2 linked regions of the Callithrix jacchus genome follow. The protein of the gene in region 2 purifies or fractionates together with the protein of the main gene of each other region. This does not show direct contact. Links are inferred from orthologs where the notes say so. Each region holds a gene or a part of one and is shown on either strand. Other genes may lie near its edges.

Region 1 (9,376 bases), on a different chromosome or scaffold from region 2:
TGTGCAAGGGCTTCTCACCTTGACTGCCAAGTGGTCTTCCCAGTCATTGGTGAGGCTTTTGTAGAATTCTCCATACTCCTCTTGAGTGATGTCATCAGGGTTTCTAGTCCAAATAGGCTTAGTCTTGTTTAGTTCTTCCTGATCAATGTATTTCTCTTTGATCTTCTTAGTTTTCTTCTTCTTATCCTTACCACTATCATCCTCCTCGTCTGAACCCACATCTTCAATCTTGGGCTTTTCTTCATCATCTTTATCTTCCTCTTCTTTCTCACCTTTCTCTTCCTCTGCCTCATCATCACTAATTTCCTTCTCTCGTTCCTTCTCCAACTAAACAACAAAAACAAAAGTTAGCCTTGAGTACTAACCACTAACAGGGAAAGCAAAAGCCAGGGCCCATGATGACTCCAGAACAGGAAACACCCTGCACGTTAAGTGAAAAAGGTTTAAAAGTCCACACTCACATAGAGGGTGATGGGATAGCCTATGAACTGAGAGTGCTTCTTCACTACTTCTTTGACCCGCCTTTCTTCTAAGTACTCTGTCTGATCTTCTTTAAGGTGGAGGATCACTTTGGTACCCCTGCCAATGGGCTCACCTACAAGAGTCAGTCACAAGCATGTAACAGGGTGAAAATATAAAAGCAGTTAAGACTTCACCAAGCCAAAAAAAAAAAAAAAAAAGTATATTAGCGAGGCTGCTATAATTTCAACTGCTTTACAAACAGGATGCTAAAAATTTCTGCCACTTCACAAGCCCAGAAAACTCCAACCCAGCTTAACTTGTAACGGGAGAGCTTACCATGGTCAGCACGCACAGTGAAGGAACCTCCAGCAGAAGACTCCCAGGCATACTGTTCATCATCATTGTGCTTTGTGATCACAACCACTTTCTCTGCCACCAGGTAGGCAGAATAAAAGCCAACACCAAATTGCCCAATCATGGAGATGTCTGCACCAGCCTGCCAACAAGTTATTTAAAGTCAAACACAAGTTTTCGAAAAGCAACAAACCAAAGCACACTGACAAATATGAATGGTGTGTGCCTGCAAAACTGCACATACCTGAAGAGCCTCCATGAATGCTTTAGTACCAGACTTGGCAATGGTTCCCAAATTATTTATGAGATCTGCTTTGGTCATGCCAATGCCCGTGTCTACCAAAGTCAAGGTACGTTCCTGAGGGTTGGGGATGATGTCAATTTTCAGCTCTTTACCACTGTCCAACTTTGAAGGGTCTGTCAGGCTCTCATAGCGAATCTTGTCCAAGGCCTGAAAATACAAATAGGAATTTGCTTTTGTTTTCCCTTTAAGACAGGCTCTGGCTCTGTCGCTCAAGCTACGGTGCAATGTTAAGGATCACAGCTCACTGCAGCCTGGACCTCCCAGGCTCAAGCCACACTCCCACGTAGCTGGACTACAGGCACATGCTACCATGGCCACTTAATATTTTTTTTTTTTTTGCAGAAACAAGATCTTGCTATGTTGCCCTTAAAGTCCTAGATTCAAGTGATTCTCCTGCCTTGGCATTACAGGTGTGGAGCCAACAGCTCGACCAATTTTTTTTTTTTTTTTTTTTGAGACAAGTTTGGCTCTTGTTGCCCAGGCTGGAGTGCAGTGGCGCAATCTCAGCTTACTGCAACCTCTGCCTCCTGGGTTTGGGTTCAAGTGAATCTCCTGCCTCAGCCTCCCAAGTAGCTGGGATTACAGGTACTCGTCACCATGCCCAGCTAATTTGTTGTTGTTCTATTTTTAGTAAAGACAGGGTTTCACCATGTTGGCCAAGCTGGTCTTGAACTCCAGGCTAGTCATGATCCACCTCCCAAAGTAGTGGGATTACAGGCATGAACCACTGCGCCCACTTTTGTTTTGTTAAAGCCCTTATCTTCAAAGAAAATCTTGGTGTATTTCTGTCAGCCTCAATCTGATTGCCCCTTATGTTGAGGCATTAGAACCATAGTTACACCAACCCACTTATCCTGGACATAGTCCCTTCCAACTTCAAAATGGCCACAAAGTAAGACAAATCTTTTTGGAATAGTTGCAGGTTTACCTCTTCAACAGTAGTCCCCAACAAAGGCCAAACTACCCCTCTCCTTCTTCCAGAATGTTAAAATATATGAAATGTGAAAACCAGAGCACTTACATCAGAAGCATTAGAAATCAACTCCCGAAGGAAAATCTCCTTGTTGGAATAGAAGGTATTGATGATGAGAGACATGAGTTGGGCAATTTCTGCCTGAAAGGCAAAAGTCTCCACCTCCTCCTCTCCATGGTGCACTTCCTCAGGCATCTAAAATAAAAATAGTAATTAATTACAAAAGAATATGAAGGCCCCATATTTAGAAATCCTAATGGTTGCCTGTCATTGGAACCTTAAAACGTGAGTTGAGTGGTGGTTTAAGCTGAGTACTATTATCCCTTCCCAAGAGACGAAAAAAGCATTCTCTTTAAAGCTCTCAGGCTACACACTAAGTGGGAAGCCAAATCAAAAGGAAAAAGAAAATAAGCTACAATGTTCTTCAACCAAATGTCACAGAACCCAGTTACTTAAAGAATGGTGGCCAACAGGCTCAGCGTCACCTGGTAGTATGGCAGAAACTCATAATCCTGGTCCAACCCAGGTATCTAGGGATCCCTGGTAATCCTTGCGCAAATTTAAATGTGAAAATCACTAGCTACGGTTCTTTATATTTGGGGGAGGTCAAAGTAACCAGTAGTTTAAGATTAAAATGGCACTAACGTTAAACCGGTCCCCCTGAGGTGTCTTCCTAAAATCAGCCTAAGGTGCAGGACTTCTGCCCCACACGGCAAAGAGGAATAATCAGATCCGTAGGCCACCAGCCCGAGGAGCAATTAAATCCAGACAAAAAAATCGAAAAACCAAAAGCTCAACCACGACCCCTTTACAGCACAGAATTACAGTACAGGACCAAACCCAACACAGGAAAGATGGTGGCCGTAGCCACCGGGCCGACTCTCGTCACTGTTGAACATGCATCGGCAGGGGCCACGCGAGGAGGGGACGCCACCATGTACCCTCCCTTCTCCCCAGCATCCGGGCACCGGGGCGGGGCGCCAGAATCCAGAAGCTTCCAGAACAATCTCAGCTCTCGAGGAGGGGCGGAGGAGGGAGCCCAAGAATCTTCCAGACCCTGCCCTCTCCCCACCCCTCCTCCACGGGGACTGCAAGAAAGATCTGGAAGGAGGAAATATGGGAGCTGGAGGCCGAAAACGCTTCTCCCTCACCGTGAGCCCTCACAGAAACAAAGCACCCAAGGCTTTCGACGCGGCCGTAAAGAGAGATGGTGAGGCCAGTCCCGCAGGGCCGTGCTGAGTCACCCCATGCGAGCACCCCCGCCACCCTGCGGTCCCCCTCCGGCGCCCTGTAGCCGCCTCCGGAAGTGGAGAAGCAAGAATGGCAGCGTCCTGGGCCGCGCGGCCACCACGTGCAGCTGCCCTCCGCCCACTCCCCCAACCCCTCAGCCCACCTCGCCACGGCTAGCAGCCGCCGAGAAAAAAGCCCACCGCCCAAGCACACAAGAGAAAACGGAGCAAAACTCAAGAGCCCTCACCTACTACCACCCTCACCCTGTAAAAATCCAGGGCGTTATCCACAGCCCACCCCGACATCTGGGCTTCCTAAAAACAGAAAAAGAAAACAGCAAAACGAAAGAGCAGTGAAGGAAAAGAAACCTGGCAGAGACTTCGGCCTTACCTTCAAAAGAAAAGGCTCACAGGTATTAGAAAGCAAGGTGGGCTGGCTGTCCAACACACACACACACACACACAGACAAGAGCAGCGCCGGAGCGACTCAAGAGAGCTATTTCACGCCCCAGGTCGCCCTATATAAGGCGAAGCACAGCACAGCCCCCCTCCCCCGGATCCCTCCGCCTTAAAGGAGTACCCTTGTCAACTCCGCACCTGCCACCACCAGCCCACCTTGACGTCATGGTCCGAAATAAGGGAGGGGGCAGAGAAGAACCCAAGCAGCGGGTCCACTCACACGTTTGCTTGTGACCACAGCCCCCATGTCTGCACGTCTAGGACATGACCCGCTCAAGAGCGGGGATGAGGAGTGCTCATTTGACAAAGCAGTGTCTCTACGAACGAGGACCCACTATCCTCCCTAAAAACCTGTGGGGCAGGCGTCCCCACACCCAAGGGCGGGGCTGGGGGAGGGGGACACCTAAAAAAAGCGGAGGTGGCTAACCACACCGACCGCCGCTCCCAGACGCAATCTTCTTCCTAGAATCTGCCCCACACATTTCGCATCCCGGTAGAAAGAATTGGAATTCGGGACCCAACCTTGGGCAGCCACAGATCCGACTCTCCCAGGCGCACAGGAAGGGCGGAGGCTTAGCTACGGTGGGTAGATCAGCGTTGAGAGAGGGCGCCGGCCGGGGCTGGTGGGGACTTTTTGCCGGCACGCGGCGGAAGACGCGGCGGCGGTGGCGGCACTGCGGCCTTTCCAGCAGTTTCCAGGTCTGTCTCGGCGGTCCGGCCCCCGCCCGCCCCCTCCCCGCGAGGCTCCGCCTCTCCGGCTGCTGCCCGGCGGGAGCAGAGTCTTTACGGCGACTCTGCCCGGCCTCCGGCTCTGACCGTCCGACCTACTAGCCCAATCCTCGGGGATGGGATGGAGCGTTAGGAAGGGATCGACCTACCCCTCCTTCCCCCAGTCAATCACACAACACCCGGGCACCTGGGGCGCCTCTGCGGGCGTCCACTTATGCAGACTGAGACTGGAAACAGAGTCGCTACTGGAGGGACCCCCTCCATTCCCTGCGGCCGCCACGTACACGGAGCACAGGAACATGCACCCTCCCTACGCAGGCACGTCAAGCCTTTTCCCAAGCTGTTTTGCTTTTTTTCCGCCCACTTCCCTCTTGCAGCTATTTGGACATGGGAAGGTGAGGAGTCTCCAGGAACCACTGCAGGGCAGTCAGAGCTCATGGAGGCCTCGTGACGACGCCGGCCAGAGAGCGGCTGGACAAGTTGTTCCCCTTTAGCCTTGGCGTCAGAGCGGGTAGGCCATGCCCCTGGCCAGTGAGCTGCAGACCGCCATGTCTGGCCTGGTTCAGCCCTTTTGCCTGCCTTCCAGTTGGCAAGCTGCCTTGCCTTTCCAAGGTCTCATCCGAAATCCTGCTGGACCCACAGCCCCTCCAGGAGAGAATAACCACTCCCGTGCCTTGTAGACGTCCTTCTACTCCCCTTCCTGGCCCACCCCTGGGATGCCTGGGAAGGGTTTTCCCCACGACCACCCACATCGTCCTCCCTCACCAGCCCTGTTACCCATCTACATTCCTTAACAAGCTTTGAATACCAAAAAACAAAGGCAGTCCCATGCTTTCCTCTTCATTGTCCCCGTCCACTGTCCACCTCAACGTGCCCGCCATCACTACCCCGATTTTATGTCCTTTCTCCCTTCCTTTATGGTCTGCAAAAAGCCAATGGCTGGGAGAAGTCTATAGGAAGGAGCGTTGGAGGCTCTGTTCCTGACCAAAACCGCAAACCCGAGGGAGTGTGATCCTTTAACATGCCCTCTCCTTCTAAGCAGTGGGGCCTAGCTCATTAAAAATCTGCTCCCCAGTTTACAGAGCATTCACAAAATCTCACTGTCCTGTGAGCAGATGAAAGTCAGTGTGCACTTTCTATCAACAGGAAAATGGCTTCAGTGACTCCCAGGGTCCCTCTTCTCAGAGCCCTTGCTGCACTAGCTCCCTTCCTGCTCTACAAATGGAGCAGGGATGTGATCTCACTCCTAGGACCTAAATCCAAAGCAGGAATCACTCCTGTGGGATGGGCTTCCCGAGCTGGATCCTTTCAGTGTCAAGACTCAGCAGCTTCCTGAAGACTTTCTAAATTGGAAAATCTCAAATCTTACACCAGCATATAAATTCCACTTTCTCAGCTGGGCTCAGTGCCTCACGCCTGTGATCTCAGCACTTTGGGAGGGCAAGGTGGGTGGATCACATGAGGTCAGGAGTTTGAGACTAGCCTGGCCAACATGGTGAAACCTTGTCTTGACTAAAAATACAAAAATTAGCTAGATGTAGCGGCGGGCACCTATAACCCCAGCTACGTGGGAGGCTGAGGCAGGAAAATCACTTGAACTCGGGAGGCAGAGGTTGCAGTTAGCCAAGACCATGCCATTGTGGTGGCTCATGCCCATAATTCCAGCACTTTGAGAGGCCGAGGCGGGTGGACCACAAGTCAGGAGTTCAAGACCAGCCTGGCCAATAGGGTGAAACCCCGTCTCTACTAAAAATACAAAAATTAGCCAGACATGGTGGTGTGCTCTGGTAGTCCCAGCCACTCGGGAGGCTTAGGCAGAAGAATCACTTGAACCCAGGAGGCAGAAGTTGCAGTGAGCCAAGATCGCGCCACTGTACTCCAGCCTGGGCCACAGAGCCAGATTCTGCCTCAAGAAAAAAAAAAAAGAAAGAAAGAAAAGAAATTCCACTTTCGCTTCCAGGAAACCTTTCAGGAGACTACCTAGCTATGTCCAGAAGCTTCAACCTTTTCTGCTCATTGACACTCACTAATCTCCACTGTGTGGTGATTGTGGGGATGCAGAGATTCATACACAGGACTGGGAGCCCTCAGCCCATGGGGGACTGCAGCAGGCCAAGTATGAACCATAGGAGGATGGGAGAAGCAGCAGAGGCCCTCAGCTCAGCCTGGGGAAGGGAGCAGTCTTAGGACCATGGCTAGCCTGGCCATGACATGAAAAGCATGGCAAGGCACAGGGCCCCATTAGAGGAACCGTAGCTCAGGAACCCAAAAGGGAAGCACAAGGAGTTGAAAGTAGCCCTGCAGATAGGGGTTAGGTCACAGAGGGCAGCAAATGCCACTGGTAAGACGTTCTGACCTCAAAGGTGCGAGAAGTGAAGGCTATAAAAGATAGGCTTAAAACTACATCTTCTGAAGCCTTATTCCCAGCGGCACTTGGGACCATAGATATTCCCAAGATCCCTGGTATTCCTCCATGAAATCTCCTAGGCCCAGCCCAGCCTTCTGCTGTTGAAGGGTGGCCAGCTAAAGCAGGGATTAACAACCCAAGGCCTGCAGCTGGTGGGCCTGCTGCTTGTTTTAGAATGTCCTGTGGGCCAAGAGTGGTTTTTACACTTTATAATGGTTGAAATAAAAAAATCAAAATATATTATTTTTTTTTATTTTTTATTTATTTTTTTTTTTGAGACGGAGTTTCACTTTTGCTACCCAGGCTGGAGTGCAATGGCGCGATCCCGGCTCACCGCAACCTCCGCCTCCTGGGTTCAGGCAATTCTCCTGCCTCAGCCTCCCGAGTAGCTGGGATTACAGGCACGCACCACTGTGCCCAGCTAATTTTTTGTATTTTTAGTAGAGACGGGGTTTCACCATGTTGACCAGGATGGTCTCGATCTCTTGACCTCGTGATCCACCCACCTCAACCTCCCAAAGTGCTGAGATTACAGGCATGAGCCACCGCGCCTGGCCCAAAATATATTATTTTAATGTGGAAAAACTATATGAAATTTGAGTTTCTGTTTTCATGAAGTTTTTTGTTTTTGTTTTTGAGATGGAGTCTGGCTCTTGTGCAGTGGCACGATCTCAGCTCACTGCAACCTCCACCCCAGGTTCAAGCGATTCTCCTGTCTGAGCCCCCCAAGTAGCTGGGATTACAGGTGCCCACCACCACTCCTGGCTAATTTTTGTATTTTTAGTAGAGGTGGTGTTTCACCACGTTGGCCAGGCTGGTCTCCAGCTCCTGAGCTCAGGTGATCTGCCTGCTTCAGCCTTCCAAATTGCTGTGATTACAGGCGTGAGCCAGTGCCTGGCCAATTTTAATGAAACTTTAGGGCCGGGCGTGGTGGCTCACGCCTGTAATCCAAGCACTTTGGAGGCCAAGGCGGGGCAGATCACCTGAGGTTGGGAGTTCAAGACCAGCCTGACCAACATGGTGAAACCCCTTCTTTAAAAAAAAAAAAGGAAAAGAAATTTTATTGAAACAGCCCTCATCTTTGACTGCTTCTGTGCCATAAGGTCAAAATCGATAGTTGTGACAGAGACCATAACACTTGCAAACCCTAAAACATTCACTCTCTTGCCTTTTACAGACCCTAAGCTATTTTAAAGCTCAGTAAAGTCTTGCAGGGAGTACAGAGACTCAGCTTGGACACAGTCTGGGGTTCATGGAGGCCACTGAGGAGAGTTAAATAAAGCTCAGTGGACAAATAAACTACTGAGGGCCAGAGGAGGACACCAGGCATATGAGCATGGAGAGTAGCTGTGGACCTTGAACCCCTAGAACAAGTAGCCTCTTAAGCTCAGTGCCTGCCAGGTGTGTCCCGTTACTTTCTGGGCCTTCTCAGTTCCATGAGGCTTAGATCTGAATTCCTAAGGGAATACCCTGAACTGACACCCTCCAGTACTAGTGAGCCCGACATTCAGACGCATTGGACAGTTGGGCAGGTCTGCACAACCCGCATGGACTCCACCTCTTTGCCTCCATTTTCACGTTTCCACTAGTACACAAGAGAAGTCTCATGTACAACTTTTGGTCACTGTATTGTTAGTATTGCTATTTTTTCGATGCCATAGAAAATGGTAATTTTTGTTCATTTTCTGTTTCCCAGAGTTCAAAAAGCAATTGAGCAATTTAATTTTTGTTTATTGATCTAGCAAGTTGGTAAGCTACCTTACTAATTTTTAATTTGTCTGTAAATGTTTTGGCGTTTTGTAGGTACAACCATATCACCTGAAAACAATGACAGTTTGGTTTCTCCTTTTCTGATTCTTGCATCTCTTATTTCTTGTTTTAATGCACCAGCTAGGATCGCAGAACAGTGATGAAATAGTAATTCTAGGCATCCCTGTCTGATTCCTGATCAGAAAATGAAAGCTACTAACACTTCACCATTGTAGTCTTTTTTTTTTTTTTTTTTTTTTTAAGACAGGGTCTTGCTCTGTCACAGAGGCTGACTTACCATGGTGCAATCATAGCTCACCACAGCCTCAACCTCCCAGACTCAGGCGATCCTCCCATTTCAACCCCACAAGTAGCGGGGACCACCATGCCTGGCTAATTTTTTTATTTTGTAGAGATGGGGCCTCCCTATGTCACACAGGCTGGTCTCAAACTCATGGGTTCAAGTGATACTCCCACCATGGCCTCCCAAAGTGCTGGGATTACAGGCATGAGCCACTCTCACCTATCTGAGCATATTTACTTTTTCTATTCCTAACTTGCTGCAAAGTTTAATGTGAATAGGTGTCAAGTTATTTTTTGTTTCTATTGAGAATATTATTTTTTAAATTCCCTTCATCTGTTTATATGGTTTATATGGTTAATTTATAAAAGACTTTCTAATATTAGACTGAAATGATCTGTTTCTTTA
Region 2 (9,276 bases):
CCTCCTGCCTTGGCCTCCCAAAGTGCTGGGATTACAGGCGTGAGCCACCGTGCCCAGCCTGGATGGTAATTTAGAACATTCTTTTTATTTTGAAAAATCCTGCCTACATTATAGGTAGGCCTTGACTGGCAGGTGCTAGGAATGGGTTTTAAACCCAGACAGTCTTGCTCTGCAGCTGACAGAACCAGATGATAACAATTGTAGCCAACCTTTATAGCGTTATCTATGACTAATTTATATTGTATACACTGTGTTCCTGGCATTGTTTGATGTGCTTTACACATAACAACTTGAGTAATATTTGAAACAGCCCTACAAAGTAAGTAATGTTATATTAGCCCCATTTTACAGATGAGAAAACTGAAGACCAGAGAATGTAAGTAACCTACTCAGAGCCACATGGCTAGTGAGTAGAAAAATCGGTTCCAGAGCCCATTCTCTTCACCACTGTTCTGCGAGTGTTGGAGGAAGGGGTGTAATGGAAGGAGCTGGCCAGAGGCCTGACCCTTACCCATCTACCATGGCGTCTCCTCGGATTAGCTTGAGGTTCTTGAAAAAGCCCAGGGACACGAGGGCAAAGGAGTGCTTGATTTTGAGGAAGCCAGTAATGGTCTCTACCAGCCCCAGGCTGTGCTGCAGCTGCGGCTCCAGGTTGTCTAGGGATGGGGAAGACGGGGCTGGAGCAGGAGCAGGGAAGGTGATGGGTCTGTGGGGCAAGGGGGCTGAATGGGGAGGTGGGGGTAGGCCCTCAGGGCTGGAACCCAGGATGATGGAAAGTGGGGCTTAGTTGGGCCCATTGTAAGGGTGTGCCTGGGAGGAAGGGCATGGCCAGGAGGAGGGGTGTGACCCCAGAGTAGGTACTGACAGCCCTGGCGAAGGTTGAGGATGAGGCTTCCCTCCACATGTGTGCAGTCCACCAGATCCTGTGCCGCCTGGATGGAGTCGATGGTCTTGGTGCCTACCTTGCACTCTTTAGGGCACAGCCCCTCGCATTTGTGGCAGAATATGCTAGCAGGAGCAAGTAGATGTCCTGAGCCTTGGACCAGCCTGGGCCTCCTCAGGCCTCCTCACTGCTCCCAGGGTGCCCCCCCCACCCTCCCTACACTCACCTGCTGCTATTACGGGTGAAGCCAGAAGGGCACTGGGCCAGGCAACTGCCCTGGTGTATGCCGAAGGTGGAGGCGCGGCCGGGCACAGAGCGCAGGCTGGCACAGTGCTCAGCTGTGACACAGCGCCAGGACTCATACTGGTAGGTGCCTGGAGGGCAGGCCCACAGGCAGGCACCCTGAAAGTAGAGGTGACGGCAAGCTACACAGGCACGAGGGTCTTCTGGCCGGCTGCAGCCCCCCAGGCATTCGGTGTGGCAGCACTCACCCCTTGCTGTGCAAGCCAGCCCATGGGGGCAGGGGCACACTGTGGGCAGAGTGGTGTGTTAGACCTTGGCCATGCCCCCTCAGTCATGGCTGCCCTTCCAATGCTGGCCCCACCCCATTTCTCTTGGGATGATACTCAATCTGCACCCAGGTCCCTTCCATTCAGATGACACTGGCTGCTGACTCTGTTTCCCTCTGACAGGATTCTTAAGGACAAGGCCTGTGGCCCTGTCTGTGGCTCCCCACCTCCCACAGTGCCTAGTCGGCGGTGTCAGAGCTCAGGACAGAGCAGTGACCTTGTCCATCAGGGTTGTTGCTCTCCAGACTGCTGTTCTGTCTGTCCTGTCTAGGCGTGGTGCCCAGATCATGGCTGGGCATAGTGCCATAGTGAGCCAGCCAGCCTCTCCTGAGCAGCTAGGCCCAGGGGCCTGAGACTGTGTGCAGGGAGGGGCTGATATCCGTCGTTTTACCCCTGCTTCTGCGTGTACCGCCTCCCAGTTCAGTTTCCTGCCCTGGACAAGAAGTGGCTCCAAGCAGCAGTAGGAGGGTTTGGGGTTGGGGGTCCAATTGCCTAGAAACTGCATAGTGGCAGCTGGCTGGCTGTGGGAACAATCTATGGGGCGAAGGTCAGCCAGGTCGTGTTGACACTGTACAGGAGAGGATGCCAGCAGCTGTTTACAGCCAACAGGGAGGCATCAGGGAGGTGGGGCGCAGCCGCTACAGCGGGGATCTGGTTACTCTCCCACCTGCCCTGCTGCTGAGGCACTGGGGGTGAGAGGAGCTGACCTCCAGGAGCTGAGAGTAAAAGACCCCCAGGTTGGGAGACCCCAGATCTGCTCCCCACCTCTGAAAGGTCTTCCTCGCCTTTTCTATAACTTTGCACTTCCTCTTCCTCCGGCCATCCCTCTGTTTTCTCCTTCCCCCTTTCTCTACTGCCTCTTTCCTCTCCGAGCATCAAGCATCGTCCTAAAGGTCCCACCTCACATCTTTGCTCTCACCTGCTCAGTTCTTCATCGATCGCCTCCTCCTTTCTTCTCCCGCTCACCCCCAACCTCACCCTCCCGTTACAGTACTGCCAGCTGACCCTGGATCACTAGGCTGCGGCCACTCTGATTAGGAACAGAACTGCTACCCTGACGCGGGTGCTGCTCTGACGTTTGTAGAAGAACTCATTCCTCATGCCACCCAGTGATCCTTTTTACAGCTCAGGAAACTGCCACAGAGAGGCTAGGTGAATACAGCCGGTAGGTGGTAGAGGCGAGACTTGAACCCAGGCCCTCTGGCTTTGCATTTAGCCACTGCCCCACACTGCTTCTTGTGCTGCCTCCTCTCTGTTTGTGCCTACTCTTTTTCCCCCAAGCCTACATTGAACCTGTCCTTCACCTACTCCATGATGCCGTCTTGAGCCTTCCTCTTGGCTGTCTTATGCCACATTGGTTATCTAACTTTTCTGAGCCTTAGTTTCCTTACCTGCCTTATAGGAAGAGTGAGGATTAAAAAACAGTGGCAGCTGAAAGTACTGACCGATACCACTCTGTGGCCACCCAGCCCCACAAGCCCCTGCTCTTTCTGATCCCTACAGTCAACACTGTATGCCAGTGCCCACCTCTCTGGCAGTGGCTGGAGGTCCAGCATCTGTAGTCAGTGTGCCCACTGAAGGTGGTCTTGGCGCAGGGCTCGCCAGCAGCACCCAGCACACCAGGGCACACGTCAGCACACTCCTCGCCCAGCTTGTTGCCCACGATGTGGTTGGCGCCAGGTACCGGCTGCAGCAATCCCCAGTCAATGGTGGAGAGGTGGCAGAGCTCCTGGTTCTTCTCCACACGCACAGCCCCACGCAGCACGGCCCCAAGCGCAGGCAGTCCCACGTCACGCAGATGCGGCATCTCAAAGATGACCAGGGCATAGCCCAGGAAGAGGCGCGTCCCGCGGATGACGGCTAGGTTGGGGAAGAGGTCGCGCAGGCTCTCCAGTCCGTAGACACGGAAGAGCAGCAGGTAGTCGGTGACCTGGGTGAGGCGAGGGAAGCTGAGGCCGCGGAAGTCGTCCCCGGTGGCTGTGAACATGAGCAGGATCTGCAGGTGGCCCTCCACCATGCTGCAGTTCTCCAGCCGACGAAGCTCTGCTGCCTCTGAGCGAATGTCCAGGCTGGGGCAAACTGTGGGCACACATGGCACTCAGCAGTGAGTACAGCCTAGGCCAAGCTCCCCATCCAGCTCCGGCAGCTTTGGAGGGGAGCACGCTGGCAGTAGGACAATGAGTGAGGAGCCCGGCTCTTCTCTGGGTGTGGGGTGGCCTCTGCCCTGGGCCTTGGAGGGCTCACCTGCAGCCTTCGGGGTCTCTACCAGATGAGCCACACAGGCAGAAATGAACTCCTGATCTCTCCCAAGCCCATTTCCCCTTCTTAGTTAAAAGCAACATTCCTGCAGTCCGGCTCCCAACTTAAAGTCATCCTTAATGCCTTTCTTTTTCACCTTCTGCATCCTGTGGGTTTATCTTTAAAATGTATCCAGAAATGGCAGGGCATGGTGGCCCACCCCTGTAATCCCAGCACTTTGGGAGGCCAAGGCGGGCAGATCATAAGGTCAGAAGTTTGAGACCAGCCTGGCCAACATGGTAAAACCCTGTCTCTACTAATAATAGAAAAATTAGCTGGGTGTGGTGGTGCGCGTCTGTAGTCCCAGCTACTCAGGTGGCTGAGGCAGGAGAATCACTTGAACCTGGGAGGTGGAGGTTGTAGTGAGCTGAGATCGTGCCATTGCACTCCAGCCTGGGTGACAGAGCAAGACTCTGTCTTCCATCTCAAAAAATAAAAATAAAAATACACACACACACACACACACAGAATCTGAACTACTTGTGAACACCTTCACAGCTTCCACCATCATCATCATCTTCCCTTGGATTCACAGTAATAGCCTCCCAGACTGTCTCCCCAATGCCTCCCTTGTCCCTCTATGGACCATTCTCCGCACTGCAGCCAGAGTGATCTCAAAACACAGATGGCTCATGCTTCTCCTCTGCTTATGACCCCGTGACTTCCATCTCTCTTGATCTTACCACGGCCTACAGGGCCCTGTCTGATTTCAGCTCCTGTAACCCCTCTGACTTCATCCTCTTTATCTTCTTCAGCCTCACTGACTTCTTCGCTATCCTTTAAACAAGCCAGCCAAGCTCCCACCTTGGGGTCTTTGTCCTATTCCTTCCGGCCAGAACCCTCCTCCCTCTACATGGCTTGCTCACCTCCTTAAGTCTGGCCAAATGTCCCTTTCTCAATGAGGCCTTCTCTCACCATCTGACTTTATTTGTTTGTTTGTTTGTTTGTTTGTCTGTGATGGAGTCTCACCCTGTTGCCCAGGTTGGAGTGCAGTGGCACAATCTCAGCTCACTACAGCCTCCATCTCCCAGGTTTGAGCTATTCTCCTCCTTCAGCCTCCAGACTAGCTGGGATTACAGGTGCCCACCAGCACGCCTAGCTAATTTTCGCATTTTTAGTAGAGACAAGGTTTTACCATGTTTTTGTGTTTTTAGTAGAGACGAGACCCGGGTGGCCTCAAACTCCTGACCTCAAATGATCCACCCACCTCAGCCTCCCAAAGTTCTGGGATTATAGGCATGAGCCACCACGCCCGGCCTGACCATCCTATTTAAAACTGACTTTTTACGTCTGTAAGCCCAGCACTTTGGGAGGCTGAGATGGGAAGACTGCTTGAGCCCAGGAGTTCGAGACCAGCTTGGCCAACATGGTGAAACCCCCCTCTCTACAAAAATATACAAAAATTAGCCAGGTGTGGTGGTACATGTCTATAGTCTCAGGTACTCAGGAGGTTAAGATGGGAGGATTGCTTGAGCCCAGGAAGTCAAGGCTGCAGTGAGCCGTGATCACACCACTGCACTCCAGCCTGGGCGACAGAGTGAGACTCAGTGTCTAAAATAATAATAATAAACTAAATAAAATAAAATAAAATTGTGGCACTCTCTACTCCCCCTTCTGCTTGAGTTTTCTCTATAATTCTTAACACTGACTAATGTATTTGTGTGTGTGTAATATTTTGAGATAGAGTTTCACTCTTACAAAATTGTTGTGTACTATGGCAGGATCACAGTTTGCTGCACCCTTGACCCCTGGCCTCCTCAAGTAATCCCTCTGCCTTGGCCTCCCAAAGTGCTGGGATTACAGGTATCAGCCATCATGCCTGACCATATATTTATTTTTAACACTGGCTAAAATATAATTTATATATTAATATAGATATGTATTTATTTATATAAATACATTTATTTTGTTTATTGTAAGCGCCATAAGGGCAGGGATATTTGTATAATTCATGTTGTACCCTAGTGGCTGGTATAGTGACTGGCACAAAATTGGCACTCAATAAATATTTGATGAATGAGTGAATGAGAGCAGTGGTCTGAGCTTCATAGATCCCATGTCTCTCTCAGTCCTAAGGGAGTTAGATGCCTGTTCCCTGAATTTGATTACTCATGAAGGAACATTCTAGAGCTCCCCATTGCTAAAGAATCAAGTTTCAGTTCCTCAGCCTGACACTGCAGGGTGTAGATGAACCATCCCTTACTTATGCCTCCAGGCTCAGAAGGGGCCTTCAGGCCTTGTCCTGCAAATCTTCCCTGACCCTCTGGCCCCAAGTTAGTCACTTCCCCTTCAGGCTCAGCTACCCTTAGTTCAGCGCCAACACCAGATTACCTGAGGGCATTGCTCCAAAATTGTTGTGTACATCTCTGTCATCCCCTGCAAAGAGGGTGGGACCCTTGTCGGTCAGCTCTGCATTCCCCCAGTTGTGCCCAGTCCAGGGCTGGAACCACTGGGAACCCAGGAACCGTGGACAATGGATGTCTGGATTCCCAAGTCTGCTCCTTCCTTGGGGACGTGGGTGTGTGGCTTCTTCACCAGGGCCCAAGCCCCATTCCCTTTTTCTCCCCAGCCCCCTAAGGGGGCTGGATGCCTGGACTCACTTGCTCCCGAGAGGACCTTCTATGACTCCCCACTGCAGAAGATTCAAGTCTGAATGTTTCAGCCTGACATTCAGCTCCTGCTAATGTCTCCAGCCTCTACTTCCCTTCCCGCCGAGCCCTCCGGGTTATCACAAACACCACACAGCACGAGGCCCGGTTCCTGATAGTTTGTTAAGAGAGGTGGGCAGGCCAGGCTGGCTCCCTGGGGGTGACTTCACATCTTCTCCCTGTTGTCATTAATAGTCCTGAGCTTGGCTCTGCCCAGCAGCTGTGTGTGTGTGTGTGTGTGTGTGTGTGTGTGTGTGTGTGTGTCTGAGCCCACGCAGGTACACACACAAAATAGAGGGAGAGAGAATGAGAAAACACTTCTATCCCTTCCAGGCGAAAGCCAATCAGGCTCTGTGAGGCAGATGGGGGTTCTCTCAGGCGCCCACTTCCCATCATGCCCCTGCCTCTCCAGGGCTCCCCTGATGGGAGTCATTTGGAAAAACAAATCTAAAACCTTCACAGATTAACCCCTGCCTTCCCTCAGGACCCGGCTCTGTGCAGAGCTGCACTGGGAATGGAACATCTGGGTCCCCTGAACAAATACGAACCCCTCCAAGGATGTGCTCTTGTCCTGACAACCACACTCCCAGCTGGCATCTGCTGTGCAGGACAGGAGGGGGTTCAGTGGCTAGGGGAGTGGTGCTGTGCCTTACATACAGAGGCTCAGTGACTGGCACCCTTCAGGGGACCTCCTACCCAGCCCATTTTGTTGCTCTCCTGTCTCCATAAGAAGGGGAGACTCCCCTGCCTCTGGAAGCCCCCAGTCTGAGGGGCATCACAGGATCCCTCAGGCAGGCACCAAGTGCTGGATTCCTGAGCTGGTTCAGTCTGGAGGGGAATGGTGGGACTGAGGAAGGGGATACCCCTTAATCCTTCCCTTTTTGAAGCTTCCACCCTCAGCTCTTTTTCATCTTTCCATCAGGCCCCCCAGTACCTCCATGACGGTCATTTAGTCTGTATAGTTCCCCCCACCCCTCCACCCCCGTACTCTCCATCTCTCTCTCTTTTTTTTTTGAGGTAGAGTCTTGCTCTGTTGCCCAGGCTGGAGTGCAGTGGTGTGATTTCAAGCAATTCTCTGCCTCAGCCTCCTGAGTAGCTGGGAGTACAGGTGCCTGCCACCACACCCGGCTATTTTTTCTTTTTTTTTGTATTTTTAGTAGAGATGGGGTTTCACTATCTTGGCTAGGCTGTCTTGAATTCCTGACCACGTGATCCACCTGCCTCGGCCTCCCAAAGTGCTGGGATTACAGGCATGAGCCACCCTACCTGGCCTCACCGCCATACTCTCTAAAACCTAATCATGGGCAGTATCTAGCCTGGGGGACAGGCCCTGTGAAAAGCAGTTGAGGAAAAGCAGTTTCCCCCAGAACCAGCCTTCCACCCCGTAGTGATTGGACCCTAAGGAGGGGGGACACACAGGACCACAGGACAGGGCCCTGGAGGCCGGCTCAGGACGCAGTCTAGCGTCACCCTTAGTCCCCTGAGCGCAGTCTTCTGTCTGCAGCATTTGCCTCCATTACTTCATGGTGCCTGGTCCTCAGCTCCCTGTCCCACCCTGCTTCTTCCCATTCTGTGGCCCCAGAGATGACTTCTAACACTCACAGCCTCATTTTGGTTTTCAGGCAAGCTTTACTGGGATTGCAGTTTCACTAGTAGGGATGGAAGATATCTATTCGTCCCCGTTTTGAAGCCCTTTTCCCCTCTGAGGGAGCTGAGGGAAAAACACCTTTATGCGGGGAACTCACTGCTTCTCCTGCTGGGCGGTTCTCCTGAGAGCTAACCGCAGCCTCCATGGTCCAGTGCAGAGTAAGTGGATGTTCCGTGGCTGCAAGCCCAGATGTCTGGCTTCCCAGTTGGCTGGGAGAGAGGTAGGGGTCTGGGAGCCAGTTCTGGGGACTCACCCTCTAGTGCATCCAGGCCAAGTCCCAAGGAGAGGACGATCGCAGGCAGGCATGCTCCCCAGGGCCACAGACCAGGTACTGCCATTGTCCCAGTCCTGGCTTGTGTCCAGTCCCAGCTCTTCTGGTGGCTCTGGGGAGAAGAGTTTGACAAGCCCTAAGGGACACAGAGACCAGGGTTCAGATAGGAGACGGAGGGGGCAGGGGCAGAGGCAAGGAATCCCACACAGCAGGAGACAGAAAACAAGAAATGAGAGTCACAGAGACACAAAGATAGTGACAGGCAAGTGGAGACAGAGATGGGGACAGAGATGCAGACAGTGACGGGTGGAGTCTCGGGCCTCCAGAGGCAGAAAATGACACAGGGTTCTGAGCAAAAGGCAAGCCAAGAGGCCGGCCAACCCTGAGGGCGGAGCAGAAGGCTGGGGACGCTCCCAAGAAGGGCAGCATGAGACTCCACAGGGAGAGTCTCCCTGGATCCTTCTGGGCCCGCGGCCCCCCAGCGCTGGCTGACCGCGCTGGCTGCGGTCTCTCCCAGGGCGGGCACGCAGGGGCCGCGCCCAGCCCGCGCCCAACTCCTGCCCTCCCTGCCCCCCGCCGAAACAGATTGGTTCACAGGGATCTCTCAGTTCTCTCCGCCCCTCCCCCGCCAAGCCAAAATATTTAGCCTGACAACTGAGGGGAGAAGAGATCTGTTGGGGAAATAAGGCCAAAATACAGGGGAGGGTGGGTCAAGAACTGAGCGTCCCCAAACTCCGCTGTGGCTGCGACGGGTCCCCCCAACCCCTTAGCCACACCGCAGGCTTCTTCCAAGTGGGCTGCACGGCCGGAGGGGCAGCCAGCGCCCGGGCTTCTGGGGAGCGCTGTGTCTAGATTCTGCTCCCCGGTGCCTTGACATCTGCGGGGTAACTTCTGGCAGCCTCGACCCGGGAGAACCTGGACAGCCCATGGCCTCTCGGAGCCTCTCTCAGCCTCCGAGG

What was found.
Region 1: the proteins of INSRR (region 2) and HSP90AB1 purify together in Homo sapiens (affinity purification with mass spectrometry; 3 studies listed by BioGRID and IntAct, with this or other methods). This does not show direct contact. The link is inferred for Callithrix jacchus from reciprocal best matches to the Homo sapiens genes INSRR and HSP90AB1.

Annotation. Positions count from the first base shown.
Region 1 is NC_133505.1:52,706,983-52,716,358, reverse strand, and holds the start of HSP90AB1 (heat shock protein HSP 90-beta), read right to left. Parts: upstream 4,441-9,376; 5' UTR 4,305-4,440; intron 3,821-4,304; exon of another isoform or gene 3,714-3,820; intron 3,419-3,713; exon of another isoform or gene 3,245-3,418; intron 2,289-3,244; coding exon 2,142-2,288; intron 1,268-2,141; coding exon 1,061-1,267; intron 959-1,060; coding exon 799-958; intron 596-798; coding exon 462-595; intron 328-461; coding exon 19-327; intron 1-18. UniProt on the Homo sapiens protein: Molecular chaperone that promotes the maturation, structural maintenance and proper regulation of specific target proteins involved for instance in cell cycle control and signal transduction. Undergoes a functional cycle linked to its ATPase activity.
Region 2 is NC_133519.1:17,249,594-17,258,869, forward strand, and holds the start of INSRR (insulin receptor-related protein), read right to left. Parts: upstream 8,844-9,276; 5' UTR 8,385-8,843; coding exon 8,300-8,384; intron 3,532-8,299; coding exon 2,980-3,531; intron 1,414-2,979; coding exon 1,110-1,413; intron 1,009-1,109; coding exon 866-1,008; intron 657-865; coding exon 512-656; intron 1-511. UniProt on the Homo sapiens protein: Receptor with tyrosine-protein kinase activity. Functions as a pH sensing receptor which is activated by increased extracellular pH. Activates an intracellular signaling pathway that involves IRS1 and AKT1/PKB.